Caenorhabditis elegans: one gene and its partners. The protein of the gene in region 2 interacts with the protein of the main gene of each other region in a pairwise test. Each region holds a gene or a part of one and is shown on either strand. Other genes may lie near its edges. The genes, in order: C53D5.5, Y39B6A.34, rpl-23A.1 and far-7.

Region 1 (11,209 bases), on a different chromosome or scaffold from region 2:
AAATCACGTGAATCCTTTTAAAATTTGAACTTCCCGCCGTGTACAGTTTAAAGTGCGTGTGACGCAGCAAGTGCGCTCCGTTGAGAATCGTGCACTCGAGGCGTTTTTGTCCCAAAATTCAATATTTGTTGGCCTATTTTTCACATTTTCCGATAGGTTTTTTGTTGAAAATGCCAATTTTTATACTAAAAATCTATTTTCCTCAGCGATTCCGCGTATTCCCCAGGCGTTTATCTGCAAAACCGACTCGCTTTCATCTTTTTCCTTCTCAATTTTGAAATTTTTAGCACATATTCTGATTTTCAGGGTTCCCTACAATGGACGTCAATCAATTCACTGAGCTCATCACAAAACTGCAGTCAGCAGACAATGATATCCGAAAACAAGCTGAAGAAGTCTATGAAAAGATTGAAGGACCAACCAAAGTAGCTGCACTTTTCGAGGCCTACACACACCACACGAATAATTCTGATGTTAGTTCACTCAAATTCCTATATATTCCATGAATTTTCGATTTTCAGGCCAGATCCACAGTTTTGGTGTTTCTGCGACGAGTTCTCGCCAGAGACTGGGATGCGATTTGGGAAACGCTGAACGAGGAGAACAAACAGCGCATTCTCGCCAAAGTTCTCGAGATGATAGTTCACGAGACCGAACTCTCGATTAAGAAGAAGATTGCTGATTTGATCTCTGAAATCGCTTCAAACCTCATCGACGATTCTGGAGATATGACATGGGGAGGAGTCCTCGAGCTGATGGATCATTGTTTGAAGAGCGAGGATCTTACCGGAAACTACATAGCCCTGCTTATTCTTCGCGGATGCCCAATAATTTTTGGAAACAGGCTGGCCCACTTCCTTCCAACCCTCAAAGTTGTCTTGGAAAAGTGCATGGCTACACCGGATTTGCAAATCAAGGCCACCGCCGTCCGTGCTGTTATCGCTTTCGCTGTTGATAATGATGAGGAGAAGGATGTTGTCAGGCTTATGACCTCTCTTGTTCCAAATGTTCTTCAAGTTTGCAATGAAACCAGCGACGAGGATGATTCAGATGGACCACTCGGAGAGTTCGCCGAGCTCGCCTCTTCTCTGCCAAAATGCCTTAACACTCATATGTCTCAGGTTCTTCAAGTCACTCTTGCTGTAAGTAATTTAAATGGCCCAATTTAAAAATTTCATTTTTTCAAATTTCAGATTGCTGGAAACAAGGAAAAGAACGAGATGGTCCGTCAGAACGCCATCGAAGTTATTTGCTCGTACATGGAATCCGCACCAAAAGGACTCAAGAAATACGCACCAGGAGCTCTTGGACCAATTCTCGAGACTCTTCTTTCATGCATGACCGAAATGGATGACGATGTGCTCAATGAGTGGCTCAACGAGATCGAAGAGGAAGAAGACTATGAAGAGTAAGGATAAATTTTTAGTTTTTCTTCAATTAAATTATTTTTCAGTATCCCAATCATCGCCGAAAGCGCCATCGACCGTGTTGCTTGCTGCATCAACGGAAAAGTGATGCTCCCAGTGTTCCTTCCACTTGTCGAGAAGCTTTTGACCAGCGAAGACTGGAAGATGAAGCACGCGGCTCTTCGCGCGTTCTCCGCCGTCGGTGAAGGGTGCCAAAGATCTATGGAACCACACATAGAGCAAATTATGGCTCATATCACCAATTACGTCAATGATGCTCATCCAAGAGTTCAATACGCGGCTTGCAACGCCATCGGACAAATGTCTTCTGACTTCGCTCCAACTCTTCAGAAGAAGTGCCACGCCGCCGTCATACCAGCTCTTCTCGAGTCTCTTGACAGAACCGATGTTCCACGTGTCTGTGCTCATGCCGCTTCGGCTCTTGTCAACTTTGCCGAGGAGTGCCCAAAGAGCATCATTGGACAATATCTTCCATTCATTCTTCAGAAACTCGAAAATGTGCTTTCCGCTGTGTTCAATCGTCTCGGAGACAAGAGATACCAGGTTGTCGTTGAGAACATCGTCACCGCCATCGCCTCCGTCGCTGAAGCCGCCGAGGAGCTCTTCAAGGAACATCATGCTCGCCTCATCCCGAACCTCGTTCACATTCTTCAAAACGTCGGAGAGCTCAAGGAGTTGAGAGGAAAGACCATCGAATGCATCTCTCTCATCGGATATGCTGTCGGAAAGGAACAATTCCACGCTACTGCAATCGAGATCCTGAACCTTCTCGGAGACGGAATGAAGGATTTGGCTATCGATGATCCACAATACAGCTACATGATCAGCTCATGGACTCGTTTCTGCTCTATTCTTGGAGCCGATTTCGCACCATTCCTCCCAGTTGTCATGGATCCAGTTCTTCGTGCCGCTCGTTACCGCCCAGACTTCAATATCTTCAACAGTGAGTGTTTTTTAGTTTTACGTGTTAAAAAAATATATAAATTTCAGACGAAGATGTTCACGAAAACGAGGAAGGAGTTGAATACCACGGAATCGGAGGAGAAAAGACTGTCGGAATCCGCACCAGCGGTCTTGAGGAGAAGGCAACTGCTTGCGATATGCTTGTCGCGTTCGCCAAGGAGATGAAGGAGGCTTTCATGCCATACGTCGTCGACGTCTACGAGCTCGCCATCAAGAATCTCGATTTCGGACTTCACGACGGAGTTCGTACGGCTTCCGCTGAAATCATGCCATGCTTGTTGACCTGTGTTGAGAAGCAAGGATTGGCTGACAAGCGTCGTTTGTGGTGCGAGTTCTTGAAGGCATTGACGACCTCTATGGAGGAGGAGGACGATGTCGAGATTCTCGCCTCGTTCATGACGACCATCGGATCGTGCATTGAGGTTATGAAAACCGAGGGAATCGCCGAGGAAGAGGTTCAACTCATCATTTCGGTGCTTCTCAAGCAACTTGAAAACTACGGAAAGAGAATGAGCGATCGTCCAGTTGAAGATGAAGATGACGATGATGCTGAAGCTAAGGAGGAGCTCGATTATTTCATGGAATTGGAGGCCTCATGCCTTGGAGCCATCTCTGATTTGACTCACTCTCTTATGAAGGAGTTCAAGGGAACTATCTTCGAGGGAATGATCAACGTGTTCAACTGTGCCATTCAACTCATCGAGGGATCCAAACAATACTTCGAGAGACAATGGGGAATGTGCCTTCTCGATGACGCCATCGAGTTCGGTGTCGGACATATGCCAACTCGCTTCCCGAAGCTTATTCCAATAATGTACAAGTTGTTGGGAGATGAGTATCCTGAAGTGAGACAAGCAGCGAGCTACGGTTTCGGAGTTATGGCCATCAACTACCACCAGATCAGCGACTACCGAAACGAGATTTTGAGCTGTTTGGAGCCACTGGCCGCCATGATTCAACGAGAGGACGCCCGAGCCACCGAGGAGAGCACTGTTGCCACGGAAAACGCGATTTCTGCATTTGCCAAAATCATCGGCAATGTGCCACTTCCTGCTGAAGCCTACGGAAAGGTTGGTTTTAGAATTCAGTTTTTCAAGAAAAAAGTTCCATATTATTTCCAGGTCGTCGAGATGTTCCTGAGCTGGTTGCCAACATATTCAGACACCGAGGAAAGCCCCTACATTTACACGTGTCTCGCCGAATTGTTTGATAAACAAGACGCCGCACTTTTTGGACCAGAAAATCAGAATCTTCCGAGAATCTTCCTTGTTTGTAAGTTCTAATCTAAAAAAATCCGTAACTTATTTTATTTTTATTTGTATTTTTCAGGCTTGCTCTCAATCGCCAACGATGCTTTCAACGACGACGATAGCGGCAACCAAACCAAGCAAAGAATTGTCACAATCCTGAAGCAAATCTACGCATCGTTCCCACAATTCGCGCAGCAAGATGGAATCGACGAGCACCTTACCAGTGTCCTTCAACAAACTCTCAATGGGCAATAATAAGGACTTTTGTTGTGTTTTTTTTTTTGCTGTTATCTTCTCCATCTTCACCGAAATGAATCTTGTTCACTGTTAATCGCTTGTTTCGCGGCTATCCTCCTATCATCATCATCAGTTTCTTCTTTTGTTCCACCACTTCTCCCCGATGCCACATTTTCTCTAATTTTTATTAGTTACCTATCGACTTTTTTTCTGTTGTGTTGAATATTATCCTCATTTTCAAATCTACTCGTTAGTTGTTACAGTTAAAGTTTTTGAAAATAATTTCAGCCAAAACCTCCACTTTCTCCTATACTCCAAATCTAAAAGTCATTCTTCCGTAGTCCTCATTGTTCCCCCTTCCACCCAACTCTCTCCCACCACAGAATATCTCTTCTGTCACTTGAAGACTATCCTCGATAAAGAGAGCTATTGGCGGTTACCCCCTCTTCTCTTCTCTTCTCGTTTGTCATTGGAGCGCGCTTACACGCAGCAAACTGTAGCTCTTATCTAGTTTTGCGATAGAATTCCGTTATCGTGAAAAGTTGCAATTTTGACATTCTCGTCCTAAATTTCCAATTGACAGCGCTTTGACTTTTTCTATGATTTTTTAATTCATACTCAATTCTGAATAATGACTCCTGAAGGGCAATCGACGAGGTGAGAGAAAAATCGATAATGTTAAAAATTCGCGGGTTTTTCGAGAAAATATTATACGTTTGTGAAAAAAATTCGAATCGAGACCCAAACGAGGCGGCATGAGTTTCTGAAAAAAATATATATATGGATTCAAGATTTAAAAAGTGCATTGTTTTTAAATTTATAATGCTGGAAATATTACCCAAATGCGAAAATACGGTACCAGGTCTCGAAACGACCAATTTTTTAAAAATAAAAACAAGCGTGCGCCTTTAAGGGAGTACTGTAGTTCTCACATTTGCAAATTCTTTCAAAAAAATCATGATGCTTTGAAAACAACTATCGATGAAAATTTAATTTTTTGAAAAAATTGATACAACTTTTTTGGTATATGAAAAACGGGCAATATTTTCGGAATTTCGAAAATTAAATTAAATTTTATGAAAAGTCGATAAAAATCGATACATTTTTGTTTGAAATTGCACAAATTCAAATTTTAGAATCTAGAAATCTATAAATTCAAATTTTTTAATCCAGAAAATCGATTATTTTCTCAAAAAATTGAAAATACTCTTCAGATTCATCTTTTTTGTGGAATATTCAAATTTTTGGGAAACCTCTGATTTTTGAAAATTCCATTTTTAAATCAGAATTATTACGGCAACACAAAATTCTGAGAATGCGTATTGCGCAACATATTCGACGCGCAAAATATCTCGTAGCAAAAACTACAATAATTCTTTAAATGACTACTGTAGTGTTTGTGTCGATTTACGGAAATCATTCATTAGTCGATAAATTGTTTTTTAAAAAACACAAAAAAAATGAAAAAACCGAAACCCCGTAAATCGACACAAGCTTTACCGTAGTGATTTAAAGAGTTACTGTAGTTTTCGCTACGAGATATTCTGCGCGTCAAAAATGTTGTGCAATACGCATTCTCAAAATTTCGCGGTCTTGTAATAATAGTGATCATGCCACTCAATACATCAAATTTGACGCGCAAAACTCGACTTTTCAGCAGTAACCCACCTCCTGTTCAATACTATAACACGTTTCCGGACGATGATAATTTACCGCCAGAATATGGACCATTTGATGAAGTTGAGCCGCTTATCGAGGCCGAGCAACCCATGAAAATCCGTACTTTAGTCGCGGCGGTCGGCTTAACGGTTCTCGTATTCACGTTGTTAATCTCAACGGTCGCATTCGCTTCATTGTATTTTCATTTACTAATGCAGGTTTGTTAGAAAGCTAGGCCACGAGGGTGAAAACTAGTCCGCAGTCGGTTCATGGCTGGCCGATTTGCTACGTGGCCGATAAAAATAAAACTCGGCAAGGTTTCCAGAACAATGCCCGCCTACCCCGTTGGCCTGGACCATCACTTTCTCCACTCGGAAAATATTCGAAAGCCGCCGTCGCCGCCGACAACGAAATTTGCTCAGAAATCGGTCGGAATATTTTGCTGAAAGGCGGAAATGCGGTGGATTCGGCAATCGCCGCACTTTTCTGTATCGGTGTAATGGATACACATTCGGCCGGAATTGGCGGCGGACATTTTATGACTATTTATAATGCGTGAGTTGTTGGTCTCGCCACGAATTGGAGCGGAACATCAATAATTAAAAAAAAAGATAATTATTAATATTGATTTTTCAACTAAAAATCAATAATCGAAAAGGAAAACAAAGAAGAAAAATTTTGGAAGAAAGAATGATTTTCCTAGGCCATTAAAAACATTTTTGCAAACATCACATTGTGGCCTCACTGGTTTCTGGCCTTCGTCAAAGCGTTTTTCTCGCGCTCCATTGACAATCGTCTACACGACGCTCCGTAAATTTACCCCGGTCGTGGCCTAGTCCAAACGGGCTAACTCGGCAAACTCTTCCATTTCAAAATATGAGGAAAGCCAGAAGCGCGTGTGGCCTTTAAACTTCTGCCGTGGCCTAAAAATATTTTCAATGACTTAGAAACCTCTAAAATTCTTCCAGAACGACAAAAGAGTGTACGGTAATCGATGCTCGGGAGATTGCTCCGCTCGCCGCAACAGAGGAAATGTACCGTGACAAATGGAATCAGTCGAGAATCGGATGGAAGGCGATTGCGGTGCCCGGAGAGCTTCACGGCCTCCGGACTGAATTCGAGAGATTCGGAAGTGGAAAAGTCGAGTGGAGACAGTTGTTGAAACCAACTATTGATTTGTTGGCTGAAGGTGGGCACTTTTTCTGCGAGCCTAGAATATTTCTGTTGGCCTAAAAAACTCCTAACGGCGTAGAACATTTTTGATGCTCAAAAACTTTTCTGGTGGCCGTTTTTAGACCGGCCAACAATCCCTAGGGGTAACGGATAACGGGGGCAACGGATTTAATATTCCCCGGGGACAACGAAAAAGGGGGGGGGCAACGGATTCAACGCTGCTCGAAGGCAACACAACAGGGGTAACGGAAATGGAGGCAACAGAACAATAATCCCTGAGGGCAACAAAAAGCGAGGCAACGGAATATTGAGCTCTTGGTAAGTTAAATGTTGAACTTTTTGTAAAAATCAGTTTAAAAGTTTCTCCAATTACTGTGTACGTTAAGATGGGTATCACAATAAGTCTCACCACGGCGTGTCTCACCACGATGGGTCTCATCACGATGGGTCTCTCAACGGAGGGTCTCGCCACGATGGGTCTCACCACGATAGGCCTCGTCACGATGGGTCTCGTCACGATGGGTCTCGCCACGATGGGTCTCGCCACGATGGGTCTCACCACGAAGGGAGACGGGCCCAAATTTTTTCAGGAGGAGAAGACGAGTAGTTTATTACATTACTAAAAATTTCTAGACCATCAAAAAATTTCTAGGTCACCATAAAAATTCTAGGCCATCATAAAAATTTCTAAGCCATCATGAAAATTTCGAGGTCACAAAATAAGTAACTATGTTATCGGTTCATGTTTCTAGGCCATCCTAAAAAATTCCAGGCTACCCAACGTCCCATGCCCTTGCAAAAGCTCTCAACCAAAACGAGCACCAAATCCGCGCGGAGCCCACCATGAAAAACTTCATCAACCCCGAAACTCAGCGTGTCTTCCAACCAGGAGAGCAGATAAAAACCCGCCAAAACCTTCTAGAAACATTCCGGCTACTCGCAAACTCCACAGATCCCATCGCCGACTTTTATACAGGTCGGCTCGCCGAGCAACTCGCCAAAGAGTTCGAAGCCAACGGTGGGATCATCCGGCTTCAGGACTTTAAAAATTACAAATCAATAGTCCACGACTCAAAAAATGTGATCTACACAAAGCTGAAAAACGGGCGCGGAGTCTGCGGCCCGCCGCCTCCCTCGGGCTCAGCGGTGGCTCAGGCAATACTTAACGTGATGGATGGCTTCGAATATAACATGAAGTCGTTCAACGAAATCGCAACGTTATACCATCATTTTCTGGAATCTAGCAAATTTAGTTATGCGGCTAGAAGCTGGCTTGGCGACCCGCAATTCGTGGCAAACGCCACGGAAATCGCCAAAAATATTACGTCAAAAGAGTGGGCGGATTGGGTTAGGTCGAAGATCACAGACACGACGCATCCTGATGATTACTATGGAGGATCGTTTGAAGCACCACCGCAGGATCATGGAACAACTCATGTATCGATTATCGATGCAGACGGCAATGCAGTTTCGGTTACGTCTACCATTAACTTATAGTGAGTTTGGCTTTTTTAAAGGAAATTTTTGGTGGCCGAACTTCGAAAACTCGGCCAGCAAGTGAGAAGTTAGTCCTCAGTCGACAAGCAACTGCAGTTGATAAAAATGAACAAGTTCGAGGTCGTCACCAAAAATTTTAAACTAATTAGGCCAGGGGATGATTTTAGGCAGTCTTAATAGTAAATTGTTTACCACCTGGATTTTATACCGAAGTGATTTCATAATCTGGGCCACGTGTATAATTTCTAGACCATCAACCAAAGTTTATATACGCCCACCTGAAATTTGGAGGCCATCACCTTTCAATTCTAGGCCATCAGTTAAAAACATTTTTAGGACGACGTTCAATTTTTAGGCCATCAGTTCAAGTTTATAGGCCACAAACTTAAATTTCTAGGCCATCACTTTGACTTTTTCGGATATGAAGACATTTTCTAGGCCACCGCCAAAAAAACTCTTCCACCATCTCAAATTCTTCCAGCCTGGGTGCCCTAGTATCCTCCGAATCGACGGGAATTCTCTGGAATAACGAAATGGACGACTTTTCCACTCCCGGTCATCCGAATTTCTTCGGTTTCCCACCGTCTCCCGCCAATTTCATTCGCCCTGGAAAACGCCCCATGAGTAGTCAAAGTCCATTAGTGATCTTTAACACAAAAGGGGCGGAGCTTATGGCGGTCGGCGGAGCCGGTGGATCCACCATTATTTCGGGTGTTGCTGGAGTTGCACTGCATGCGTTATGGCTGAAAGCAGATGTTAAACAAGCTGTTGATGCTCCAAGGATGCACAATCAGTTACAGGTAGAGAATTACACGCGAAATTTGATTTTTTTTTTGTTGGAAAAATCGATAATTGTCAAAAAGTTGATTTTTTAAAAATAAAAATCAATAATTTTCAGAAAAAAAACTTCTGAATTTAATTTTCAATCAATTTTCGACTTTCACATGAAATATTTTTCAATCAATAAAATCAAAACCTTTCCCAATTTCCTTATTTTTTAGCCAAATTACACGTGGTACGAGCCAAACTTCCCGAAAGCCTACGTGAAATCCCTGATCGATCGTGGTCACGTAATGAAGGCAGTGAACAATTTGACAGTTGTCACCGCCGCCGAACGACTTTCCGACGGCCAAATCTATGCGAACAGTGATTTCCGAAAAGGGGAGGAGTCAGCGCCAGCGGGATATTGATTATTATGTTCATATTTTAAATTTTGTGACTTTTTTGTTGATTTTTTGTAGAAATCGGGTGAAATTTGAAAATAAATGTTCTAGTTTTCGCACTTGTGTTAACACTTTTTTACTGGTCTTGTGGCCGCGTAAATAGGAAACTCGGCCATCGATTTTTTAGAACATTTTTTATCTTAAGAAAAACTCTTTTCATAATGTTGTGTATTCGAAGGCGAGACGAGGAGGAGAAGACGAGTAGTTTATTACATTACTAAACTAAGGAATAAATAAGTTAGTTCATAGAGTTCACGTTGTACGATCTTCTTAGCCACGTCGTGGGTCAATACACGTTGATACCCAACACATAAATAGTAAGTTTAGTCAGGGTTTTTCAGTTTTCAAGCCAAAAATTTGTCTGTAAAAATTCAAAAAAGGAAACAAAGTTTTTTTTTAAATTAAAATTCTTCATATAAATTCAGAGTTTTAAAACTTCAAACCCGTAACAATGAACGAGGTACAAATGAGACAAGGTGAAACATATTACACGTTCGTCAAAATTTTTTTTCGAGGAAAGTGTAATAATACATGAACCCATAATAAAACGCGATGATGTTGACGATGATGATGATGATGCAGAGCAAAAAATGATGACAGAATTATGAGAAAAAAACGAATAAAATTTCAAAATCCTAAGCTTTCGGGCTCTGTGAGCCATGGAAAAATGAGCCAGAACACAAAAAAAGGAAAATATGGAAAAAAGCACCAGAAAATTATAAGACACGGGGATTTTTTGACACATGGAGTAGAAGAAAAAAAAAGAAAGAATTGAGCTAGATTCCTTTAAACATCCGGCAGATTCCATGACCATGTTAACCGTAATTCGTTGAGTCGAGTTGTGATATTTCGTCCTGTATCCCGGCATGCGACCAAATATTTATTATTTTTGGACCATTGATTTGCGAACAGTTTGTTGACCAGTTTATCGCAGAAGACCTACAAAATTTGGATTTTTTTTCAATTTTTACACAAAAAAATCAAGAAAAACTTTGTTTTTTAGAATGCAAAATAAATGTATAAATTCTAGGAGTTTGAACTTTTTAATTAATTTTTTCTTTTACGTTTTGAAAAAAAGGAACTACAGGCCTGTCCGGGAAATTGTAAAGTTGAAAAAAATTTTCCTAACAATTTCACAACTTTTTTCCTATTACAAAGTAAATAGGTAAATTTTTTTCTGATAGTGGAAGTTAAATTCTACAAAATAAACTCCTTTCAATCAAAAAAAAAATCACATTTCTGACTGAAAATTCTCAAATTTTCAGTTTTTCTTTAGAAAAAATTCGGAAAATTCACTTTTTTAAAAATTTTTTGTCAGTCGTTCGTTTTTTGAGAATTAAAACTTTTAGGAAATTTCTATATTTTTTTTGAAAATTCAATTTGAACATCAGAATGTGATTTTCGATTTTTGGAAAAATCAAAAAGGTTTTTGTCGAATTTATTGGTTTTTTATGAATATTCATCAATGCTGTTGCTTTTTTAGCAATTTTTCACAGGTGGACGAACTTTTGCAAACTATGAAAAATTCGGCCATCTGGAAAAAAGCTCGTTTTTTGCCGATTTTATTGATTTTTCACAATTTTTCCAAACTTTTTCAACTTTCAAGCTTACCTCCAAATTCCCGTTACTCCTCGACGAGCACACCATATTAGAAGTGCATCTCGCCTCACAGTCTCCAATTTTACAATCATTATCACTTTCACACGGACGTCCTTTTAGGAGAGAATCCAATTTCGATTTCGTGTACACCATGTCACCGTCCATTAGAGCGAATCTGCAG
Region 2 (7,071 bases):
CAAAATGTTAAAAATCAGGCTTTTACACCTATTTTTGTGCAATTTTTTCGGGAAAAGTTGTGAAAAACGCCACTTTTAGGGAATTTTTTAAGAGAAAATCTAGATTTTCACTGATTTTTCACCAAAAAAAACCTGGAGTAAAGTCAATTTTTAGTTCAAAATCAAGAAAAATGAGTAAAAAACCATGATTTTGTAGTCTTTGTAGTCTAAGCAGCGCCCAAAATCTAAAATTTGTTGGTACTTGGACAAAATTTGACCAAAATCTCCTGTTTTTCACCTGAAAATTGCCGATTTTGGCTGAAAATCGTCCAAAAAAAATACAATTTTCATGTTTTTAGGCTCTAGATGAGCAAAAATTCAAGTTTCTCTCGATTTTTTTGGTTAAAATTTCGCTATTTTCCAAATTTTCTAGATGAAAATGCAATTTTCAGAGCAATAAAACTCGAATTTCAACAATTTTTGAGCCAAATTCGTCGACTTTTCATATTTTCTCTGGTTTTTCACCAATTTTCGCCAATTTTTTCTCTAATTTTCCTGTTTCTCATCTATTTTCTGCGATTTTCGCCAATTTTTTCAGCAAATCAGTTGGATTTCTCTCTATTTTCGCTAAATTTCCATTTAAATCGCTCCAAAAAATTTTGGTAGCAGCTGCTTTTTGTAGTTTTTGTAGTCTAAACAGCGCCAAAATCTAAATTTCAACAATTTTTAGGCCATTTTCTTCGATTTTTCGACCATTTTTCTCGGATTTTCTCCAATTTTTCTCAAATTTCCAGCCAATTTCTTCCTTCTCAACGCCTACACACACCTTCTCCCACTGTGGCTCAATTCCGGCTTTAATCTTCGCCTCGTGATCAATCAATTTCTGTTCTTCTCCGGCAATTTTCGCCACATATTCCTGATATTCTGCACTTTCTGGATTATAAGAAGCACCTCCTTCGGCAATTTGTACTGCTGGAAGCAGACTTGTAATCGATTTTCCTGGCGTTTTCGGCTGCTTTTTCTTCACAACTTTCAGAAAATGCTCTGCGGCTTCTTGATTCTCAAGCTTAGATTTCGGAATCTTCGGCGTCAAATCAGTCGTCCAAACGTCGAAATTCTTCTTTTTCGCCGCCGGCGCCGCTGCTTTTGGCCCCTTTTTCAGCGCCAAAATCGCGTTGCCACGTGGCAATTTGGCGGGTTTTTTCAGAATTTTCGATGTGGTGGATGGTTTTGGAAGTGTGACATGCTCCTGTGTGATGTTTTTGGTGATTTTTTCCAACGCGGCCTGCTGCTTTTTCGTCAGTTTCGGCACGACTGGCTTGTTGGCGGTGGCGGTACGATCGACAATGAACAGATCTTCGTCTTTCATCTCAGAAATGACACCTCCAGTTGCTGCCTGACGGGATTTGATGTCTGAAAATCGGAAAAATTAGTGAAATTTAGCCTAAAAACGTGAAAAAATTGAGAATTTTTGCCTAAAATTAGCTTAGCAGCGCCAAAATCATATTTTCGCTCAAAATTAACCAAAATCGCCGATTTTTGTCGCAATTTTGAAAGAATTACCATGTTTAATGGAAATTTTTGGTTTTTTCGTCAAAATACTGGAAATTTCGATGATTTTTCAGCGACAATCGCTCGAAAATAAACTTACGAATCGAATCCTCAATATCATCGATATTCGTTCCCTTTCTCCAATATTTCTTGTTGTGGCGTGAGCCCTTCGCGGCTCCAGTACGTTTTCCAGCGACCATCTGAATGCGGAAATTGGCAAAAAAGTGGAAAAAAGGTTGAAAAAGGTAAAATTAGGGTGGAAAACCCGTTGAAAATTCAAGAAATACGATAAAAAATCAAGAAAAAACCCATTTTTATCGGGGAAAAAGCAACGAAATCAACTAAAACTACCCAAAAAATCTACAAATTAACGCCTCGCCATTCGGAAAAATCGGACAACGTTGACTTTGAGTGCTGGCCAAATCAGTTGCAGGTTTCGGCGGTACCATTCTCTGAAAATATTGATTTTTTACATGAAAAATAGCAATTTTCATGGATTTTAATCGATTTTTCGCGAATTTTCATCAATTTTAATCAATTTTATCCGATTTCCACCGCATTTTCACCCACTTATTATAGGCCATCATCGCCACGTGTCGATCATTCAAAAAATCGCGATAAAACTCGCTGAGCTCGTTCGCCGACACGTGTTCCAGTCTTCCAAGCTCTTGCTGCTTTCGCTCGACAAAATCCGACTTTTGCCGGTCGAACAGTTGATTGTGTTCGGCCCAAAAATCCGAATTCCACTGATTCAGCTCTTCCCGAGCCAGCCGATACTGCCGCTCGAGTTCCGACTCATTATCGACGCGGCGGAGCCTGGAAAATCAATAATTATAATTTTTAAAACAGATTTTTGGCAAAAAATATGGGAAAATTTCGCTGAAAACCGACGAAAATTGATTAAAATCTAGTTTTCGTTAACAAATGGAAAAGTGCGCGGAGGTGTTGCGTCACCAAACTCCGCCCACTTTTCCGTGCGGCAGCGCTAAAAATTGCGAAAATTATTTATTTTCAGCGTATTTTTCAGGATTTTCTCACATAATTTTGCGAATTTTCGATAAATTATCCGGCGGTCCAACCCAATCGAATCGGCGATCCATTCGGACATTTGATGAGGAGGAGGAAATCGATGACATCTGGGAAATTAGGCTGAATTTTGGGGAAATAGGGAAAAAATTATAGGAAATATATAAAAAACCGGAGTTTTTACCGGGAAAATTGCAATAAAACGCTGAATAAAAGGTGTTTAATTAAATTAAGAAACCAACAAGTGAAAAAATAACAAGAATAGAGTATATAAAATCAACAAAAAAAATTTGAAAAAACCAATCACAATCCTTCAGAATTCTCCAACGAGCTCCGAATAAGCTTAAACATTTTATCATACTCTGTCATATTATGAATAACTAATAAAATCGAAGCCAGAAGCTCTCGGGTGTTCAGAAGGTGTTGTAGGTATCCTTTAGTGTATTTTGTGCACGTATAGCAGGCGCATCCGTCGAAAAGTGCGGTAAAATCGTCGGCGAACTTCTCATTATTGAAATCCACTACTTCATATTTCGAAGACGTCGGAAAATCGTCTGAAAGACAGAACGCGTGGCCTTCTTCGGCCAATTTAACTGGAAATGACGAGTCGAACAGATCGATTCCTTGTTGGACGAGGAAAAGCACGGTTTTTGGGTTGAAAGGTCCTGAGATACATCGGAGTTTTGTAGGTGGAAGTGGGCTCTGGAAAAAAATGCATGATTTTTTGGGGAAAAATCGACCATTTCCGCTAGAAATCCGGGATTTTCAGTTAAAAATCCGAGGAAATTGTGCTTTTTGTGTGGTTAGCAGCGCCAAAAATTCAGGTTTTTGGATTTTCAAGCAGAAATTCTATGGAAAATTCAAAAATTTGAAGAAATTAGTGATTTTCTGGTGGAAAATAATGAAAAATTGCCCAGAAATGTGTGATTTTCGGTGAACTTTCGCATATTTCGGCTTGAAAATCGGAAATTTCTATCGGAAATAAGTGATTTTTAGAAAAAATTAGGAAATTTTGGTCGAAAACGAAGTTTTATGTAGTTAGCAGCGCCCAAAACTTGTAGTTTGTAGTCTAAGCAGCGCCCAAAACTTGTAGTTTGTAGTCTAAGCAGCGCCCAAAATCACATTTTCGCTCAAAATTAACCAAAATTGCCGATTTTTTTCGCAATTTCGAGGGAATTCACGATTTTCAATGGAATTTTTATGAATTTTCAGCGGAAATTGCCTCAAAAATCGTTAAAAATGCTCTTTTCATCTATTTTTTTTTCGCAGAAAAGCCAAATTTTCAGTGAAAAAACGAACAAAAGTCTCCTCCAGGAGCTCTTTCATCTCCTTATCGTCAGTTTCCTTTCCCTCTGTGAATTCGCGAAATTCGACAGTGTATCCAGCAATATTTTCAGCCAATCCAACGTCAACTGCACATTTCCTCCGATGATACTTGCTGAAACCACCGCCCAGCGACACAATTCGTTCTCCATTCACTTTTTCGTCCTAGAAAATTTGCGAAAATTTGGTGTAAAAACTATGAAAATCGCAATAAATTTAGATTTTTACACAAAAAAGTTGTAGTTTTTGTAGTCTAAGCAGCGCCCAAACTGGTAAAATTCAGGCTTTTACACCGATTATTTTGCAATTTTTTCGGAGAAAAGTTGTGAAAACTTTCAAAAAAGCTGGAAAAAAGTCATTTTTCAGTTCAAAATCGAGAAAATTGTAGTTTGTAGCTTTAGCAGCGCCCAAAATTGAATTAGCAGCGCCCAAAAATTGTAGTTTGTAGTCTAAGCAGCGCCCAAAATTGAATTAGCAGCGCCCAAAATTGTGTAGTTTGTAGTCTTAGCAGCGCCCAAAATTGAATTAGCAGCGCCCAAAACTTGTAGTTTGTAGCTTTAGCAGCGCCCAAAATTGAATTAGCAGCGCCCAAAAATTGTAGTTTGTAGCTTTAGCAGCGCCCAAAATTGAATTAGCAGCGCCCAAAAAATTGTAGTTTGTAGTCTTAGCAGCGCCCAAAATTGAATTAACAGCGCCCAAAAATTGTAGTTTGTAGTCTAAGCAGCGCCCAAAATTGAATTAGCAGCGCCCAAAATTGTGTAGTTTGTAGTCTTAGCAGCGCCAAAATGAAAAAAATCCAGGTTTCAACCGATTTTCACCAAATTTTCACCAGTTTTTCACAAAAAAAGTCATTTTCATGCTAAAATGTAGCTTTTCATTCATTTTTTCCCCTGAAAAATTCAAATTTTTAATTGATTTTTTCGCTACCTGCTGAAACAGCTGCTCTTGGAAGGTTTTCGTCCTATCCACCGCCTTAACAAGCTTCTTCTGTCCAACATCTTTCGGTGTATCATAGTCGACAAGAGTCTCAATAGAGCCACAACCAAACGAGTTAATAATTTCCCGCCACATTTTAACATCCAACGAAACTTTTCCGTTTGCCGTCCAAATCGCGACGGATTTCGAGTCATTATACCCTCCGGGAAGCTTTCCAAGCGGGTCAAACGGTGTCAGGTGAACCGCCGCGCCTGCAGGCATCCCACAAAATTTCGCAGCGCCTTTTCCGAATTTCTCGATAATTTTCGCGTTTGACACCAGCGTTGGGAGCGTCATTTGAAAAATGTGGGTTTGTTCGAGTTTCAGCTGATTCTCAGCAACTTCCCATGTCAGGTGGGGAATATGTCCGGCTCGTAGGTAGGTTTGAAAGGATGGGGTCTGGTGGTTAACCTCCACGGAGCCCCATGTGTCGATTTTGCCCAAGCGGCCCAGAAGCGTCTTTTTTTCGATTTGAAATTTGACCATTCTGAAAAAAAAAGAAGTAAAAAATCAATTTTTTTTTCCTATTTTTCTCGAAAAAAAACGAAAAAAAATCTGATAATAAATAGAAAACTGGGCTAAATAACCCAAAATCAACGAAGAAATCCAAAAAAAAAAAAATTCAAAAATCCCCAATATTCACAAGTGTTCATCATGTTTTTAAAAAAGAAGAGATGTATAGTAAATAAATAATAATAATAATGTCCAAAAAAAAGTTGGAATTATTCCGATTGTGCGTTGACTTTGTAGTTACAGTATTCCGGTTTCAGGCACCACAGAGACTTGTGCGGTGGAGCAGTATTGTAGACGGCAATCTCTTGGAGCACTTCTTTGACGTAGCTGACCGGTTGTTGAAGGAGTTGCTGAAGATCTTGAAGTCTGAAATGCGAGAAATTGTAGTTTTTGTAGTCTAAGCAGCGGCCAGCCAAAAAATCCGAAATTTCATCGAAAATGCACAGAATTCTAAGAAGTTAGAAATTTTGGAGGAAACTAGTGTGTTTCTCGTTAAAAATTCCAAAAAATACACTAGAAATGTGTGATTTTTCATTATTTTCGCATATTTCGGCTTGAAAATCGGAAATTTCTAGCGAAAATGTGCGATTTTTGAAAAAACTTTGGAAATTTTGGCAAAAAAACGAGGTTTCATGTAGTTAGCAGCGCCCAAAAACTTGTAGTTTGTAGTCTAAGCAGCGCCCAAAACGTTGAAATGCAGTTTTTAATCGATTGATACCAAAATAACACCCAATTTTTACAGTTTTTTGTGTGTAGAATTTCCTAAAAAAACTCAACGAAAGGTGCAAAATACGTGGAATTTCGTCAATTTTTGCCTATTTTTTTCAGTTTTTCTTGGGAAAATCTGTAAAAATCCCTTTAAAAATGAGTAAAACGTAAAATTTTGACACTTTTTGAATGAAAATATAGATTTTCTTCCATTTTTAATTGAAAAATCGCCCAAAATTGCAAAAAATTCGGATCAGCAGCGCCCAAAACTTGTAGTTTGTAGTCTAAGCAGCGCCCAAAATGGAATTAGCAGCGCCCAAACTTGTAGTTTGTAGTCTAAGCAGCGCCCAAAATGTAAAAATTCGGATCTTGAACCGATTTTAACCGATTTCCGCCAATTTTTAATATTTTTCGGTGAGATTTTGTTTAAAAATCGGTGTTTTCTGCAGTTTTTTTTGGTGAAAAACCATGAACCTTCAAAAATGTAGATTTTTACTCATTTTTTCAACAGAAATTCAAATTCTCGGCATCAAAATTCATTGGCAGCGCCCAAAACTTGTAGTTTGTAGCTTTAGCAGTGCCCAAAATCTTCGAATTCAGATTTTATCCGATTTTTGCCATTTTTTTGTGGATTTCTGGCAAAATTTACTTTAAAAATCGGTTTCTATTCGAATTTCCAGAATTTTTACCAGTTTTTAATGAAATAAACTGTAGTTTTTGTTGTCTAAGCAGCGCCCAAAAATTCGTTATCAGCTCAAAATACTGCAAATTTCCAGTAGTTTTTTGTGGGAAAACCACATTAAAGGTGGTGTAGTCGACTTTTTTAATCGCCTTATTAGACTCAAAATTGTCTAAAAACACCGAATTTCATAATGAAACTTCTTGAAAACTTTTCAGAAAAGAGTTATGACGGCTCAAAAAATGGTCTAAAATTAGTTAAAATCGGAAATTTGACTTGTCAAGCGGCTCAAAACTATTTGTTTTTGAAATCACCGT
Region 3 (6,803 bases), on a different chromosome or scaffold from region 2:
AGTTTAGCGAAATATTCGCCGAACAGTTCAGATCACAAGTCAAAATCAATATGTAAAACACTTATGAGCCTTGACGGAGAGCGCGAAAATTGGGAGAGACAACGGCGAAAAATGAGAGTGTAAATAGACGCAACCATTCCCATACGGCAGTGGTGACACATAGTGGGGGAGAGGAAGAGGGTCGTAAATGCGCTCCGCCGGCCTCGCATGCGGTCCCGCAGCGCGTTGTTTCCCATATTGACACAGCTCGAAATGTGTGTTACCGTAGGTCATCAACCTGATGATCACTCGTTGCCTAAAAATTTTTCGCTTTTTTTTGCGTGGCTTTTATCAATTTTCAATTTTCAATGAAATTTTTCGAAGAGATATTTTATTTTTCTTTTTTAAAATTAAATTTTTCAGAGATCGCGTCACATGGAATGTTCACCGGCACAATTTTCAATAGCTTATTCACATTACCGCTGGTCATTTCACAATTTGTTCCACCACCAACGCGTCCAGTAGATCTATGGGATCCGTTTAAAACAACGACAACACCATTTCCCCATGGCGGAGTAAACCAAGTAAGTATTTTGAATTTTTTAAACTATGTTTACCTAGAAATTTAAACTTTTCTAGTAGTTATTATCAAAATGATAGAAAATAGAATGTTATAAAATAATGATGTAAGATTATTTTAAAGAAACTGAATTGATTATTTTCGCTAAAAAATTGAGCCAATTTATTATTCTTTCTCTGAACTCTGCAAAAGATGTTTCGCTCTATTTGCCTAAATGCATATCGATTTGCGTCGTCACCTCACCTAACATTTGTGTACATTGCAGGGGTTAAACCGAGATGAAGTGGTTGTTCGACTGCCTCTGGGAGACATTGTTGGCAAAGAGGTTCATCTCCACAACCTGCCCTGGACAATTCACAAAGATCCAACCGAAGAGCTTCCCAAGGACGGAACACACTTTGATCCGAATCCACTGAAGCCCAAAAACAATATCACAGTCTTCACATTTCTAGGAGTGCCCTATGCAGAACCACCGACGTCTCAGAGAAGATTTAAGGTACACTTATTCCGACATATCATAAATTGAATAACTCATTTTACATTTTTACAGCCACCACAGCAGCTTACCGTCTTTCCAGGGAAACAACCGTATTTGGCATTCAATTACGCGGCTTCATGTGCTCAAGATGTTGAAAAGTCGCCCAGTCCATTTGTAGATCATCCTTATCCATTCATGGTCGATGAAGATTGTCTTTACTTGAACATTTTCTCTCCTGACGTAAGAAGTTTTATTGAATTTTTCTTATGAAAAATAATTATTTAATTTTCCAGATTTCCAAAAATGCACAAACCACTTATCCGGTAATTGTGTTCTTCCACGGCGGGAATTTCCAAACTGGGTCTGCAAATGAGTGGCCAGCGCATGGACTTGCTTCTCGAGGAATGGTTGTAGTAACTGTCAACTATCGTCTTGGTGCTTTCGGCTTCATGAGTATGGGAGATTCTGAAACCGGCAACTATGGACTACAGGATCAGAGACTAGCCTTGGAGTTTGTGAAAAACAACATTGTAACGTTTGGCGGAGATCCACAAGCTGTCACAGTTGTCGGGCACGATGCAGGAGCAGCTTCGATCGGATTTCACATGCAGTCACCGTATTCCAGGCACCTCTTCAGATCGGCGGCCACAATGTCCGGAGCGGAAGTTTCATATCACTCTTACATTGGAAAAACTGCACTGGCTTTCAACAACACAATGAAGCTGGGACGCTACGCAGGATGTACACAAGCTGTTGCACAACATCGTTGGGATTGTATTCTGACAAGATCAACCGGAGACATCATTGATGCAACAAGGAACATTCCTATCGAGTACAACAGATACTTGTTCATGCCAACGGTGGATGGAAAATATCTCCCTGGAAACCCGCTATGGACTCTCGTCAACGCGCCGAGTGGGGAGACTTCAATCATGAGTCCAGTACCAATGCTTATTGGAATGAATGCTCAAGATGGCAGTGAAGTCGTGCTGGAAGACAGAAGACTCGGAGAGTTTAGTCAGTTCAACGATGTCGACCACGAGTATTTGAAAAGTTACTCGCTGGAATATTGCTACCGTCATAACTACTCAATGAATCGGGAAGCTACCGCCGACGCGATCCTCTCCAAATACACTTTCTGGCCTGATAGAGCAGCTGCTTGGGCAATCAAGGAAAACTTTATCCAATTTGCTACCGATGCTTACTACACTGCTCCGATGCAACTCTCCTCGCATCTCCACAGTTCTTCGGGATCACGAGTTTTTCAATATGTAAATAATTACAACTTCAGTCGCCAGCATCCAAACCTGCTATTTATTCCTGACTGGATGGGAGTTTGTCGGGATTGTGACTTGTATCTGATGTTTGGCTATCCGTTTTTACCGGACGAGCTGAGACCGATTGGTCTGCGAGGCATAAATTTTACGGATACAGATAGAAACGCGAGCAGGACGTTTTCCAACATCATACGTCGATTCAGTTATCATCAGAACCCAAATTTTCAATTTGATGGCAGCTGGGCAGCATACGAACCAAGGCGTCATTGGTACATTAACTTTAACTACACACATGAAGAAGACTGGAAGATTCCTGGAACTCTTGCAAGAGACTATCGCTATCAAGATGTTGCATTCTGGAATGAGTACATCCCTGCATTGGTGAACTACATGACAACGACGTTTTCCCCTGAAAATGTTGCGTACCGACGAGAAATCATGGTTTTCAAATGGATCACTGGAGTCAACGTCATCATCATCGCTCTACTGATAGTACTTGCTGGCGCGTTTGGATATATGGTTTGGGGAAACAAGGAGGACGAGGAGGCGGCTTATAAAGCAGAAAACCACCAACTCGTCGAATACCGGGACACTGGTCACTCAGTGTCGGATGCTACTATTTCTTCACGGACTCGATCACCAAGATCTAGAATAACCAATCTTTAACTTTCAAAGTTTGTAAATAATGTATAATTTAAATTTTTTAGAGTACTAACATAATAATTACTAACTTCTGTGATCAGAATCTCATTTCACTTACTTTTTATGTTTAGTACGAGTTTTAAACCATCCAATTGTGATCTCTATTTTTTCGGAGCCTTATCTTACTGATGCCTTATTATTATCATAATTGTTATTGCATTTTCAAAAAGAAAACATGTATTGTCTAATGATTTTTTTAATTGTTCATTTAACTGGTTTTTTGAGCCGCTGTTTATCTTTTTTAACTCAATTTTCCAGTCATTTTCACTCTAATCAATTGTTCAGGGTAAAATGGCTCCAAGCGCTCCAGCTAAGACTGCCAAGGCTCTCGACGCCAAGAAGAAGGTCGTCAAGGGAAAACGCACCACCCACAGACGTCAAGTCCGCACCTCCGTGCACTTCCGTCGCCCGGTCACCCTCAAGACCGCCCGTCAGGCTCGGTAAGTTATTTCAGTCCAATTAAAAGAACTATTTAAAAAGTTGAATGATTTTAATTATCGATTTTCAGTTTCCCACGCAAGTCTGCCCCAAAGACCTCCAAGATGGACCACTTCCGCATCATCCAACACCCATTGACCACTGAGTCCGCCATGAAGAAGATCGAGGAGCACAACACCCTTGTCTTCATCGTCAGCAACGACGCCAACAAGTACCAAATCAAGGACGCCGTCCACAAGCTCTACAACGTCCAAGCCCTCAAGGTTTGTTGGAAGCATCTTAATTTCCAGGCAAAAAGAAATCAAAATGCTTGTTTTTAGGTCAACACCCTCATCACTCCACTTCAACAGAAGAAGGCTTACGTCCGCCTCACCGCTGACTACGATGCTCTCGACGTTGCCAACAAGATTGGAGTTATCTAAATTGTTTTCTTGTTCCTTGTTTGTTCAATAAACAATTTGTTATTAAAAATGTTTGCTGATTTGGTAGGGAAAGAAATACTAATTGTAAGAGCAGTAGTTATCATACATTTCATGAAAATCACCCTGATTTAAAATTAAAGCGCTAGAAATGGTTGTTTGTTGAGCCTAAAAATACAACAATATGTTTTTTGATTCTAAAAAATTATTGACTTAAAAAACTACTTTTAAAATGAGGGCATGTAATACACAAGTACCAAATTTCGTTTTTTTTTTCTCACCCATTCTACTTCGTACTCTTTTTTTTGAGTGTTTCACGCGATGAGACCGTTTTGAAAATGTTGCACTAACTAATAAGCAATATTGTGCCATGATAACTTCAGATTTTTCATTTCACAACTCTAGATTTGTTGTTGTTCTTGTACAATTTTGAGCTGTTGCCATATTTCAAAGAATATCCTAAAGAACATGAGTGCAAAACTCTTACAACGATAAATTGTTCATTTTTTTTATTTTTTTGAACATTGTAAGCAATTTTTTTTAATGACAAATACTATGAAATTAAATGAAAAATACAATTTATTACAAAAAAACACTGCAACTGGTTATTCATTCATACATTAAAATAAATATTGAGAGATCAAGAGTAATGCGAAAAATTTCGAAAAAAAACATGATATCTGGCAAAAACGTGTTTGAGATCAAAAGTTATTAACCAGAAGTGATTGAAAAAGATAATGGATGAAAGGAGTTTGCATGAAAACAATTTTCTGCAATATTACTACAAGTTTTCACAATTCTAACCGGAAGATGAAATTAAATTACTGTTCTCAGGACAGTTACTCGGTGTATGGCGGTGGGGGATCACGCATCAGTGCAATAATTAGATCTTCTTCGTGATTTGTTCGTGGTCTGAAAAATAAATAATAAACATCTGAAATATTCACAGGTATTTTTACCTTTTATTTCGCATTATTATTCTGGAAAGACTTCGTTCTAACTGTCTATCTCGGATCACAGCTATCAATGGATTTGCGACACAATGAACAGAGAATGCCGCAACTTCAATCCCCATAATTGAGTTATACTGGTCCTGAAGTTGTGTTCCAATTTTGTAATCTAACAATAACATGATTATTTACCTTTTCCTTGGACTCCCAGGCAACCATCATAAAAATTATAATAAATGATAAACTATTCAACAGCAACCATAGTGACGCTGTTGCGCAGTCCTTCTTTAACCGTACTGTTTGACTATTTTCCTACAAAAATTTCAATACTCAAATGCAATTTTTCGATCCCTTACCTCTGGATTAAGACGTTGTGATATGATTAGCTGGATGAGATTGAGCGGATGAATAATCAAATTGAGCACAAGGAATACGGATAGAAGAGCAAGATGAAAAGGCACTGCTAACACAAAAGATCTCGAGAGGCGGATTAGGAAAAAGTCGGATAGAAGCAGTAACGTTACGAGAAGCCATGTTGAGCCGATTAATCGAGATAATTGAGACCTGGAAATGTGTCGATGGGATAATAAATTAGAAATGTATAATAACAGTGAAATTCAGTTAATTCAAAGTACTAATTTTAGTTTCAAAATTTTGAAACATTTCTTGGTTTTGAGGAATTATTTTAAAAAATAATCACAAATTAAATATTTCTAAGACTGAGAAACAATGTCTTTATTTATGTTTTATACTTATTTTCGAGTTTTTCGAATACTTTCAATTTCTCTCATAAAAATGGTATTTAAGTATTTATTAGTTGAAAAATGTTACACTTAAGCGAGCTCGTCTATTTTTTCAATGAACTGTTTTTTTTTCAGTTAACAAGGCTCTGCGGTAACCGGCATTTTGTCGTAATTTCAAAAGTTACTATACTTTAATTGAAAGAATGTCGATAGCCGACTTCTGAAAATGCCAATTGCCAAAAACTTCCAGCATCTAAATAGTGAATTTAAGTCTACTTACTTTGCGTTATTTTTTAAATTTGCACAAAAAAGTATTTGAATAATAAAATGACACTGAAGTCTGCCATATTAAAAAATTATTGTTCTGGTTATTCCAAACCAAGTTTTTTTGGTCAAGTTTTGGTGTATCTGATTAATGAAATGTGACAAAGATTTGCATATGCCCAATTTATTTTGAGTCACCTTCCCTACTTTTGATAAGAAAATTTTATTTTTTGAGCGTAGTATTTATCAATGCATATAATTTTCAAAATGTAACAAAAAAAATACTATATAACTGTGCTAAAGAATAGTAATTAGTTGACCCCTTGACTAAACAACAAGAGAAGGGAAGGAATCTTTTATGTAACAAACAAGGAAAGTTTCATGTTTCTTTTTGGAAAACTTTTTAGCGTGGACGACGACGGGCACTAATGAAAATCTCGAGAGACTCTTTTATGTGACGCATACATGGGAAACATGTATGTGATGTGACATTCGGTGCATTTGCCCTTTTTCATATTTTAATTTAAGGAAATTTTTCAGGAAAAGTGAGGAGTGCACCTGATTTGCTCTCAGGGGCAAAAACCCTAAGCTTCCCCGAAAGCAATAAACTAACCTCGATAGATGATAGTTGTGTCGCGCGAGCGCGTGCACAAATCCAATTGTCAGCAAGGTCAGCAAGCTAATAGTCGAGTTCAACAAAATAGCAGTCGTCAAAGCCGGAAATTTTTCCAATTCAGCGAACGAACGAGACTTCATGTCGACTAGCTGGAAATGACAGAACGTTGAAATTTTGGAATTTGAAGATGAATTTTCGATTAGCTGGATAGAAGACTGCAATGTTCCATATATAAATATTCATAATTATATTTTGGAGGTATCTTGTTAATTTAAAATTTCCATCAAGATCAAACATTGAAAGAAAAATGTTTCCCAAATTTTTTGAGCTTAATTATAACTAACTGTACATATTCCT
Region 4 (7,380 bases), on a different chromosome or scaffold from region 2:
TTTGAACTTTTAGGACAGTTTTGAGGCGGTGGTCTAGGTAGCTGAGGTCAGAATTGTTGGGAGTTCAGTTGGAGTAAGAGCTTCGAGAATTCGATCTCATTTTTCATTAAAATTTGAACAACTTTCTCTAGACGTCTTTTTCTAACTACTAGTTTTTTTTTCAATTTTTAAACATTTACTAAACTTACTGCAATTTGCAAAATGTTTTCATGTTTCCAAATTTTCAAATTGAGTTTTTTTTCGCTTTGATTTTTTTTCATATTCGATTTCATTTCCATACTCCACAAAAATTTCCAATTATTCCAGAATGTCAACTGCAGTGATTGTGAGTCGCCCTCCGTCCCAGACAGCATCCTTTCACGGACCCCAACACCCAAATAGATGCTCATTTTCATCGTCGAGCTCTGAATCGATTCCTCCCACGACTGGAAGGGCAAAGGGTTCTTCTGATGTAAGACATTTAATTTTCATATCGGCATACTTTCCAGAATATTTTTAACATATTTTTTCTTGATCCGAAATTCAAAATGTCGAAAAAAAAACATTTCAAGCAAAATGCACTTTTCAATTTTTCTAAAAACTTCCGCGCAAAAAATTAGTGGGTAGGTCAAACTGTAATTTTTCAAAGTGTTTTGGGGTCAAATTCGTGTTTTGAAATATACAAATATTAAAAGTACAAAGTTGAGCCATATGTTAAAAAGTTAATTTTCAAAACAAAATTTAATTTCAGTTTGAAGAACTTGAAATCCGCATCGACAAAGCCTTGAAAGAACGCGATGCAGAATGGAGGAAACATGAAAAATCACAAATCCAATTTTTACAAAATGAAACTTCAAATATGCTGAAATCACTTCATAATGAAATTAATCGCCTCGGAAATGAGTTACGGGAAGAAAAACGAAAAACTTTGCACGGGGATGATGATTCAGCGGATAAAATTGCTGAACTGGAAAAAGTAATTACGGAAAAGGAAGCTTATACCAAGAATTTAGAAAAAAAAGTTTCAACGACTATTCAAAAACTTCAGGAACAAATTACTATTCAGGTAAGTTTTTTTTAGCCACGCTCTTTTTGTGGGCGGAGTCTAAAACACATATTTTTTACTATTTAAATTGACATTGAAGACAATATGTTTTTAATTTCTGAAATTTGGCAAAAATTTTAGATTTTTTTGGAATTTTTCTTTCTCAGACCAGCACTTTTTTTTAATATTCAAAATTTCCAGATTTCCGGAACAATTCTTTACACAAATTTCAATTTTAAATACCAAATTTTCAAAAAACTATAGAATTTTCAAATAAAAACTTTACAAGATTCGAAATTTGTAAAGTCACATTATTTTCCTTGTGGAAATATTAGTTTAAATTGTGGCTTTGAGCTTGTAAACTTATAAAAATAATGAACAAAACTTTCATAACCATGTAATATCAACTTCTTGGAAATTCATTTCTTTAATTGCCGAGAAATTTAAAAACTTTCAAAAATTCTGAAACTCCAAAACATTTTTGCAGCAATTTTTTTTAATCGAAACAATTTTCAGAGTGACCGAATCCGCCAGCTAAACGAAGAACTCTCTGACCGTAACCAAACCGTAACCCATCTTTCCCAACAACTCCGTGCCATCAAACTCCGCGAAGCAATGGCAACATCCCAGCATCGTCGTAGAGCCTCATCTCAACTCTCCACCACGTCATCACCACCGATGACGTCACCATCCTCACCTCATCGGATCTTTCCACCAGTGTCAAGTGGACTATTATCAGCTTCTGTTGCTGTAACGTATCCTGGAAATTCTAGAATTAGTATTCAGAAAAGATCAACTTCAGCGATGCGTGCACCGACTATGCCTAATTAAGCTTTCAGGAGGCAGGTGCGGAAGCTTAAATTCAATGGGTTTTTGAAACCGATGACTTTTTTATTGTACATATATACCTCAGTCAAATGAAGATATTCTGAATTTTTATTTGAAAATTATAAAAACTACGGTTTCAGGAAAGTTATCAAAATTCCATGTTATGAAAATAGGCAGGAGATGCGTTTTGGACAGAAAATCCTTCCCAAAACGTCGGCGGGGCCTAGTTGTTGCCAGAAATTTAGCCAAGTCAACCATCTCAGCCACAGCTCAAAAACATAGGTGGGGCTGCTCCGACCACGCCTATATCATGGGCATAATGTTTGTTAAGAAAATCAGGCCGCACCCCGAAATAGGGCTTCCATAAGGTCGCCGCAACGGTGGCCGCGCCGGCCTCACGGCATCACTCACGTCGCATGTATCCAAATGTATAGTGCGCATAAGAATATTATATTTTTTATTAATGTCTCATTATGCAGTTTTAATCAAAATACCTTACTGGAGGAAACATCAGAAAAAAAATCAAAATTTAATATCCGGATTATTCTTTCTCAGCGCAGCCTGATCTTCTGAAGATAGGCTTTGGAATTCCTGGTGAAGACGTTTTGCATCTGCATCATCAATTGGTTTTCCGACGGTTAAGGAGCACAAGGTGGTGGTTACCATGTGTATGAGCTGCAAGATTTTTAGTATTTATTACTAGTACTAAAAATGATTTCTAAAATGAGGTTTTTCTCAAATTTCAAAATTTCTGAATTGTAGAAACGTTTTATTCGCATTGTAGCAGCATTTTCCGCCAAACTCCTTACCTTCTTGGCATACTCAACAGCAGCCGGGCTCAAACCATCCAAACGTTTCTTGTTCCCCTCCAACACAGTTGCCAACCGTTTTCCCAATTCTGGATGCTTTTTCGAGACCTCGTCAATCATTTCACCACATTGTGAGAAACATGAATGCTTTTGGAATACCTATAATTATGTATTGCTTCAACTTTTATTACCAAAAAAGTGATGAATGTGGTAGTTCACCTCATGAAGAACTGGCTTCTCGTCAGCGGTAATTGATGAGGAGAACTCGAGTTGTTCAGTTGGGAAAAAGTCTGAAAATTATCAAAGAATTACTGAAATTATGGTTTTTTTGTAAATTAAATGAGTTGTTGAATATCAAATAGTAAAATCATTGCAATTTTCCTGTAAATATCAGTTAGAGTTTAACTTAATTATTTTTCAAAAAATTTATTTGGCAAATTTCCAAAATTTGAAAAATATGAGCTTTTGAGGAAATCTAAAGCATTGTCGCATGTTCAGACGCCTACAATGTTTCAATTCAAATAATTAAAACAAAACTAAAATATAAAAAATGTAGGAAAAATCTTTTTTTTTTTGGTCGTCTTCCAACATTACTAGTGGAAAAAACTGAGTAACTATCACTGATTGACAGTAAATAAAAAAAATTTTCAAAGAGTTTTTGAAAAGTTTTATGGTAATTTTTGGCAAAGATTTGCACCATAGGAGTAGTTTTCAACATTTTCCTTACTGGCGCTACTCCACGTTTAAAAAATTTTGAAGGAAAAAAATGTTACCAATTTTTAAACTGAGAATGCTATCAAGAAGTTGCCTACTAAAAAGTTGTCTAATCGTGCAAAATGAATTGCTCAGTTTACAATTTTAATGCCTTATAACCTATTTAACTTACTTTTGACACATTCTGGAAGTGAAGCAACGCTCATTTTTCAGTAGTCTTTCTGAAAATTTCTACGACTTTTTATTTACTCTTTCCAGTTATAAATATATATCAGAGAAAAGGTCAAAAAGATCATTTAGTGATAAGCGAGTCCTGTGATAGGACGGAAAACGTGAAAATGTGACAAAACGGCCACACCAAACATAAAAAGAACCGGTTACTGGGCACGTAAATCGAGCGAAAAACATTTTTTTATTCTTCTGTTGATTTTACTGAAATCGACTGTTCTTCAGTTCTTTTTATATAATCCTTCTTTCCAATAAATTGAACAAATATGGGCGGTACGTGCGGTGACCGAAATTTGACCGAAAAAAATGACAAACAAGGCAGATTTTGGAAATTGGTGATTCGATTTGGATTCTGCTATGGTTGAGTGAAGATTTGATGATGTATAAACACTTGAAAACCATCAAAAATTAACAATTTGAAGTATTTTTCGAGAAAAACCCCCGAGGGGACAGTGTCCCCGATGGGTTCGCAGACGCAGGACAGTCTATAAAAAAAATTTAGGCTTCCTAAAAAAATTGCTGAAACACGACACCCATATTGACTAGGTATGCAGGATATATGGAAAAAATATCAATTTGACCAATCAGCAGTGTTGGCCACGCCCAGTACGCGTTGGTGATTGGTCAATTCTTTTGGGGGCACAAATTGGCGCATCTGGGACAGTTGGGACAAAACTTTTGGTCAGAAAACTCAAATTATCGAGAGCATTAGCTAGGTTAACAAAAACTGATCGAAATTTTGAAAAAAATCCTCTGACCAATCAGCGACATTGGCCATGTCCATTACTCGTCGGTTATTGGTCACCTCGCCAGAATTGGTTTGTTTTAATTTTGGTAATTTTCGACTTATTTCCATAATTTTTGGTAACTTTTTTTGCAATTCTACAAATTAGAATTCTGGAAAAAATACCAACAACGTGGCTGGCACAAACCCGTTTTAAAAATTTAAAAAATTTTTGAAATTATAGCTCATAAAATTTCAATTTCAAAAACACACAATTTTCCTTATCAGTCGGTAATCAGCTGGTGAACACCTCCTGGAACGGGTGTTATTTATTTATTTACTCTTCCTTTGATAAAATGTCTGATAGTTGAACTCATTGTTTTCCCAAAAAATTCGAAATTTGAGAAAAAATGCTTGAAAATCCAGATTCTGTGGAAAAATTTCCAGTATTGGATCCTCTGTAAGTGATTTTGTAATTTCAGAAAAAAAAATTTAATAAACATTTTTTGAGAAAACGTTTTTCAGAATTTTTTTCAGAAAAAAGAATGTACTCCTGTCCCTGCACTCTCTTTCATCTTTAATCCACGTGGCAATGTTCTATTTCCTATTGGTCCAATGGAGTAAAGTCGATATTCCAGTTATCACGCATTTTCAGAGTAGGAATCCAAAAATTGAAGTTGTTAAGGTTTTTGAAACTTAATTTTCAGTTTTCTGTCTGGTGATTATTGGAATCGGATTATTGATTATCTTGATCTTATTTTTCATTATTTTTAACAACGAAATGAAAAGTGACTCACATGCAAGACGATTCTTTCATATGTAAGTTTATGTCTTAAAAATTGAGATTTTAAATTTAATGCTGCTCAAACCAGCTCAAATTCTAATTTTTCCAAAACATTCTTGCGGGGGTACAAAATTTTAATATCAATTTTGATATTTTCGGTACAAACTTTTTAAAATTAAGACAATTGTTTTGGCTGAATTTTTGGTTTTTAAATTTTAAAAGTGGAGTAACGCCGGTGGGGACAGTGTTAAAACTACTTCAATGGTGCCAAAATGACCGAATTTCAAAAAAAAAACCTTTCCAAAAAAACGTTTTGAAAATTTTAGAAGTGTTTTATTATGATATTCGGTTATTTTGGCTCATCATAAGTGCATTTAGACAAAATCCTCACTGGTGCTACCCCAAATAAAACTTTTCACCATTTTCCAGTTGGCCACTGGTACATATCGCCTTATCCACCGCCTATCAGCTCTTCACGCAAATTGTGATATCTCATTGGAAAACTTACCAGGTTTGTCAACCTATATAATTAAATTCGTCAGAAAATTTTTCAGATCCCAATCCTCTACTCATCCTGTGCAACTACCGTCTCTGTTGGCATTCATTTAGTTCTGCACTCCATGTCGGTTTTTTGGAAAGTATAATTTTTTATAAAATTTATTCAAATGTTATGTTGTTATGACATTGGCAATATTTGATTTCAATACTAAAAAATCTTTGAACATTATTATTTTTCTCATCAATTGAAATTATTTTATTAATGGTGACTTCCAAAAAAGTGCAAAAGTATGAAGAATCATATGAGTTGCAACTGATATAGAGGCCGCAATTGAGGACGCCAGATTTGGTACCTGAAACGTAGAATTGAAATTGGGAATTGAGTATTGAATCTCAAATTGGCGCATCTGGGACAGTTGGGACAAAACTTTTGGTCAGAAAACTCAAATTATCGAGAGCATTAGCTAGGTTAACAAAAACTGATCGAAATTTTGAAAAAAATCCTCTGACCAATCAGCGACATTGGCCATGTCCATTACTCGTCGGTTATTGGTCACCTCGCCAGAATTGGTTTGTTTTAATTTTGGTAATTTTCGACTTATTTCCATAATTTTTGGTAACTTTTTTTGCAATTCTACAAATTAGAATTCTGGAAAAAATACCAACAACGTGGCTGGCACAAACCCGTTTTAAAAATTTAAAAAATTTTTGAAATTATAGCTCATAAAATTTCAATTTCAAAAACACACAATTTTCCTTATCAGTCGGTAATCAGCTGGTGAACACCTCCTGGAACGGGTGTTATTTATTTATTTACTCTTCCTTTGATAAAATGTCTGATAGTTGAACTCATTGTTTTCCCAAAAAATTCGAAATTTGAGAAAAAATGCTTGAAAATCCAGATTCTGTGGAAAAATTTCCAGTATTGGATCCTCTGTAAGTGATTTTGTAATTTCAGAAAAAAAAATTTAATAAACATTTTTTGAGAAAACGTTTTTCAGAATTTTTTTCAGAAAAAAGAATGTACTCCTGTCCCTGCACTCTCTTTCATCTTTAATCCACGTGGCAATGTTCTATTTCCTATTGGTCCAATGGAGTAAAGTCGATATTCCAGTTATCACGCATTTTCAGAGTAGGAATCCAAAAATTGAAGTTGTTAAGGTTTTTGAAACTTAATTTTCAGTTTTCTGTCTGGTGATTATTGGAATCGGATTATTGATTATCTTGATCTTATTTTTCATTATTTTTAACAACGAAATGAAAAGTGACTCACATGCAAGACGATTCTTTCATATGTAAGTTTATGTCTTAAAAATTGAGATTTTAAATTTAATGCTGCTCAAACCAGCTCAAATTCTAATTTTTCCAAAACATTCTTGCGGGGGTACAAAATTTTAATATCAATTTTGATATTTTCGGTACAAACTTTTTAAAATTAAGACAATTGTTTTGGCTGAATTTTTGGTTTTTAAATTTTAAAAGTGGAGTAACGCCGGTGGGGACAGTGTTAAAACTACTTCAATGGTGCCAAAATGACCGAATTTCAAAAAAAAAACCTTTCCAAAAAAACGTTTTGAAAATTTTAGAAGTGTTTTATTATGATATTCGGTTATTTTGGCTCATCATAAGTGCATTTAGACAAAATCCTCACTGGTGCTACCCCAAATAAAACTTTTCACCATTTTCCAGTTGGCCACTGGTACATATCGCCTTATCCACCGCCTATCAGCTCTTCACGCAAATTGTGATATCTCATTGGAAAACTTACCAG

The links.
Region 1: the proteins of Y39B6A.34 (region 2) and C53D5.5 interact in a two-hybrid assay, tested with the Caenorhabditis elegans proteins (one large-scale study listed by BioGRID).
Region 3: the proteins of Y39B6A.34 (region 2) and rpl-23A.1 interact in a two-hybrid assay, tested with the Caenorhabditis elegans proteins (one large-scale study listed by BioGRID).
Region 4: the proteins of Y39B6A.34 (region 2) and far-7 interact in a two-hybrid assay, tested with the Caenorhabditis elegans proteins (one large-scale study listed by BioGRID).

What each region holds. Positions count from the first base shown.
Region 1 is NC_003279.8:304,087-315,295, reverse strand, and holds C53D5.5 (Gamma-glutamyltranspeptidase 1), read left to right. Parts: upstream 1-4,505; 5' UTR 4,506-4,508; coding exon 4,509-4,534; intron 4,535-5,534; coding exon 5,535-5,754; intron 5,755-5,861; coding exon 5,862-6,091; intron 6,092-6,504; coding exon 6,505-6,725; intron 6,726-7,481; coding exon 7,482-8,205; intron 8,206-8,687; coding exon 8,688-9,006; intron 9,007-9,207; coding exon 9,208-9,396; 3' UTR 9,397-9,485; downstream 9,486-11,209. Other genes in the region: imb-3 (Importin N-terminal domain-containing protein), read left to right, coding at 318-473, 522-1,142, 1,194-1,408, 1,454-2,370, 2,418-3,460, 3,512-3,662, 3,720-3,895; C53D5.1 (FAM69 protein-kinase domain-containing protein), read right to left, coding at 10,216-10,368, 11,041-11,203.
Region 2 is NC_003283.11:18,996,615-19,003,685, reverse strand, and holds Y39B6A.34 (COA8 family protein Y39B6A.34, mitochondrial), read right to left. Parts: upstream 2,669-7,071; 5' UTR 2,667-2,668; coding exon 2,569-2,666; intron 2,347-2,568; coding exon 2,101-2,346; intron 1,983-2,100; coding exon 1,898-1,982; 3' UTR 1,830-1,897; downstream 1-1,829. Other genes in the region: nol-53 (Ribosome biogenesis protein NOP53), read right to left, coding at 806-1,392, 1,631-1,730; tgt-2 (Queuine tRNA-ribosyltransferase accessory subunit 2), read right to left, coding at 2,860-3,258, 3,856-4,044, 4,807-5,340; gtf-2F2 (General transcription factor IIF subunit 2), read right to left, coding at 5,577-5,733. UniProt on the Caenorhabditis elegans protein: May be required for cytochrome c complex (COX) assembly and function, COX being the terminal component of the mitochondrial respiratory chain.
Region 3 is NC_003284.9:4,711,877-4,718,679, forward strand, and holds rpl-23A.1 (Large ribosomal subunit protein uL23A), read left to right. Parts: upstream 1-3,301; 5' UTR 3,302-3,307; coding exon 3,308-3,456; intron 3,457-3,524; coding exon 3,525-3,717; intron 3,718-3,774; coding exon 3,775-3,876; 3' UTR 3,877-3,924; downstream 3,925-6,803. Other genes in the region: Neuroligin-like protein glit-1, read left to right, coding at 420-563, 825-1,055, 1,110-1,277, 1,331-2,980; F55D10.4 (G_PROTEIN_RECEP_F1_2 domain-containing protein), read right to left, coding at 4,713-4,785, 4,833-4,966, 5,016-5,135, 5,180-5,387, 6,444-6,595. UniProt on the Caenorhabditis elegans protein: This protein binds to a specific region on the 26S rRNA.
Region 4 is NC_003280.10:316,023-323,402, reverse strand, and holds far-7 (Fatty Acid/Retinol binding protein), read right to left. Parts: upstream 3,615-7,380; 5' UTR 3,582-3,614; coding exon 3,548-3,581; intron 2,952-3,547; coding exon 2,881-2,951; intron 2,821-2,880; coding exon 2,662-2,820; exon of another isoform or gene 2,528-2,661; coding exon 2,375-2,527; 3' UTR 2,293-2,374; downstream 1-2,292. Other genes in the region: K01A2.10 (CCDC92/74 N-terminal domain-containing protein), read left to right, coding at 308-451, 731-1,045, 1,541-1,855; K01A2.12 (MiRP K channel accessory Subunit), read left to right, coding at 4,738-4,787, 4,865-4,983, 5,035-5,146, 5,541-5,622, 5,666-5,755; K01A2.9 (MiRP K channel accessory Subunit), read left to right, coding at 6,496-6,545, 6,623-6,741, 6,793-6,904, 7,299-7,380.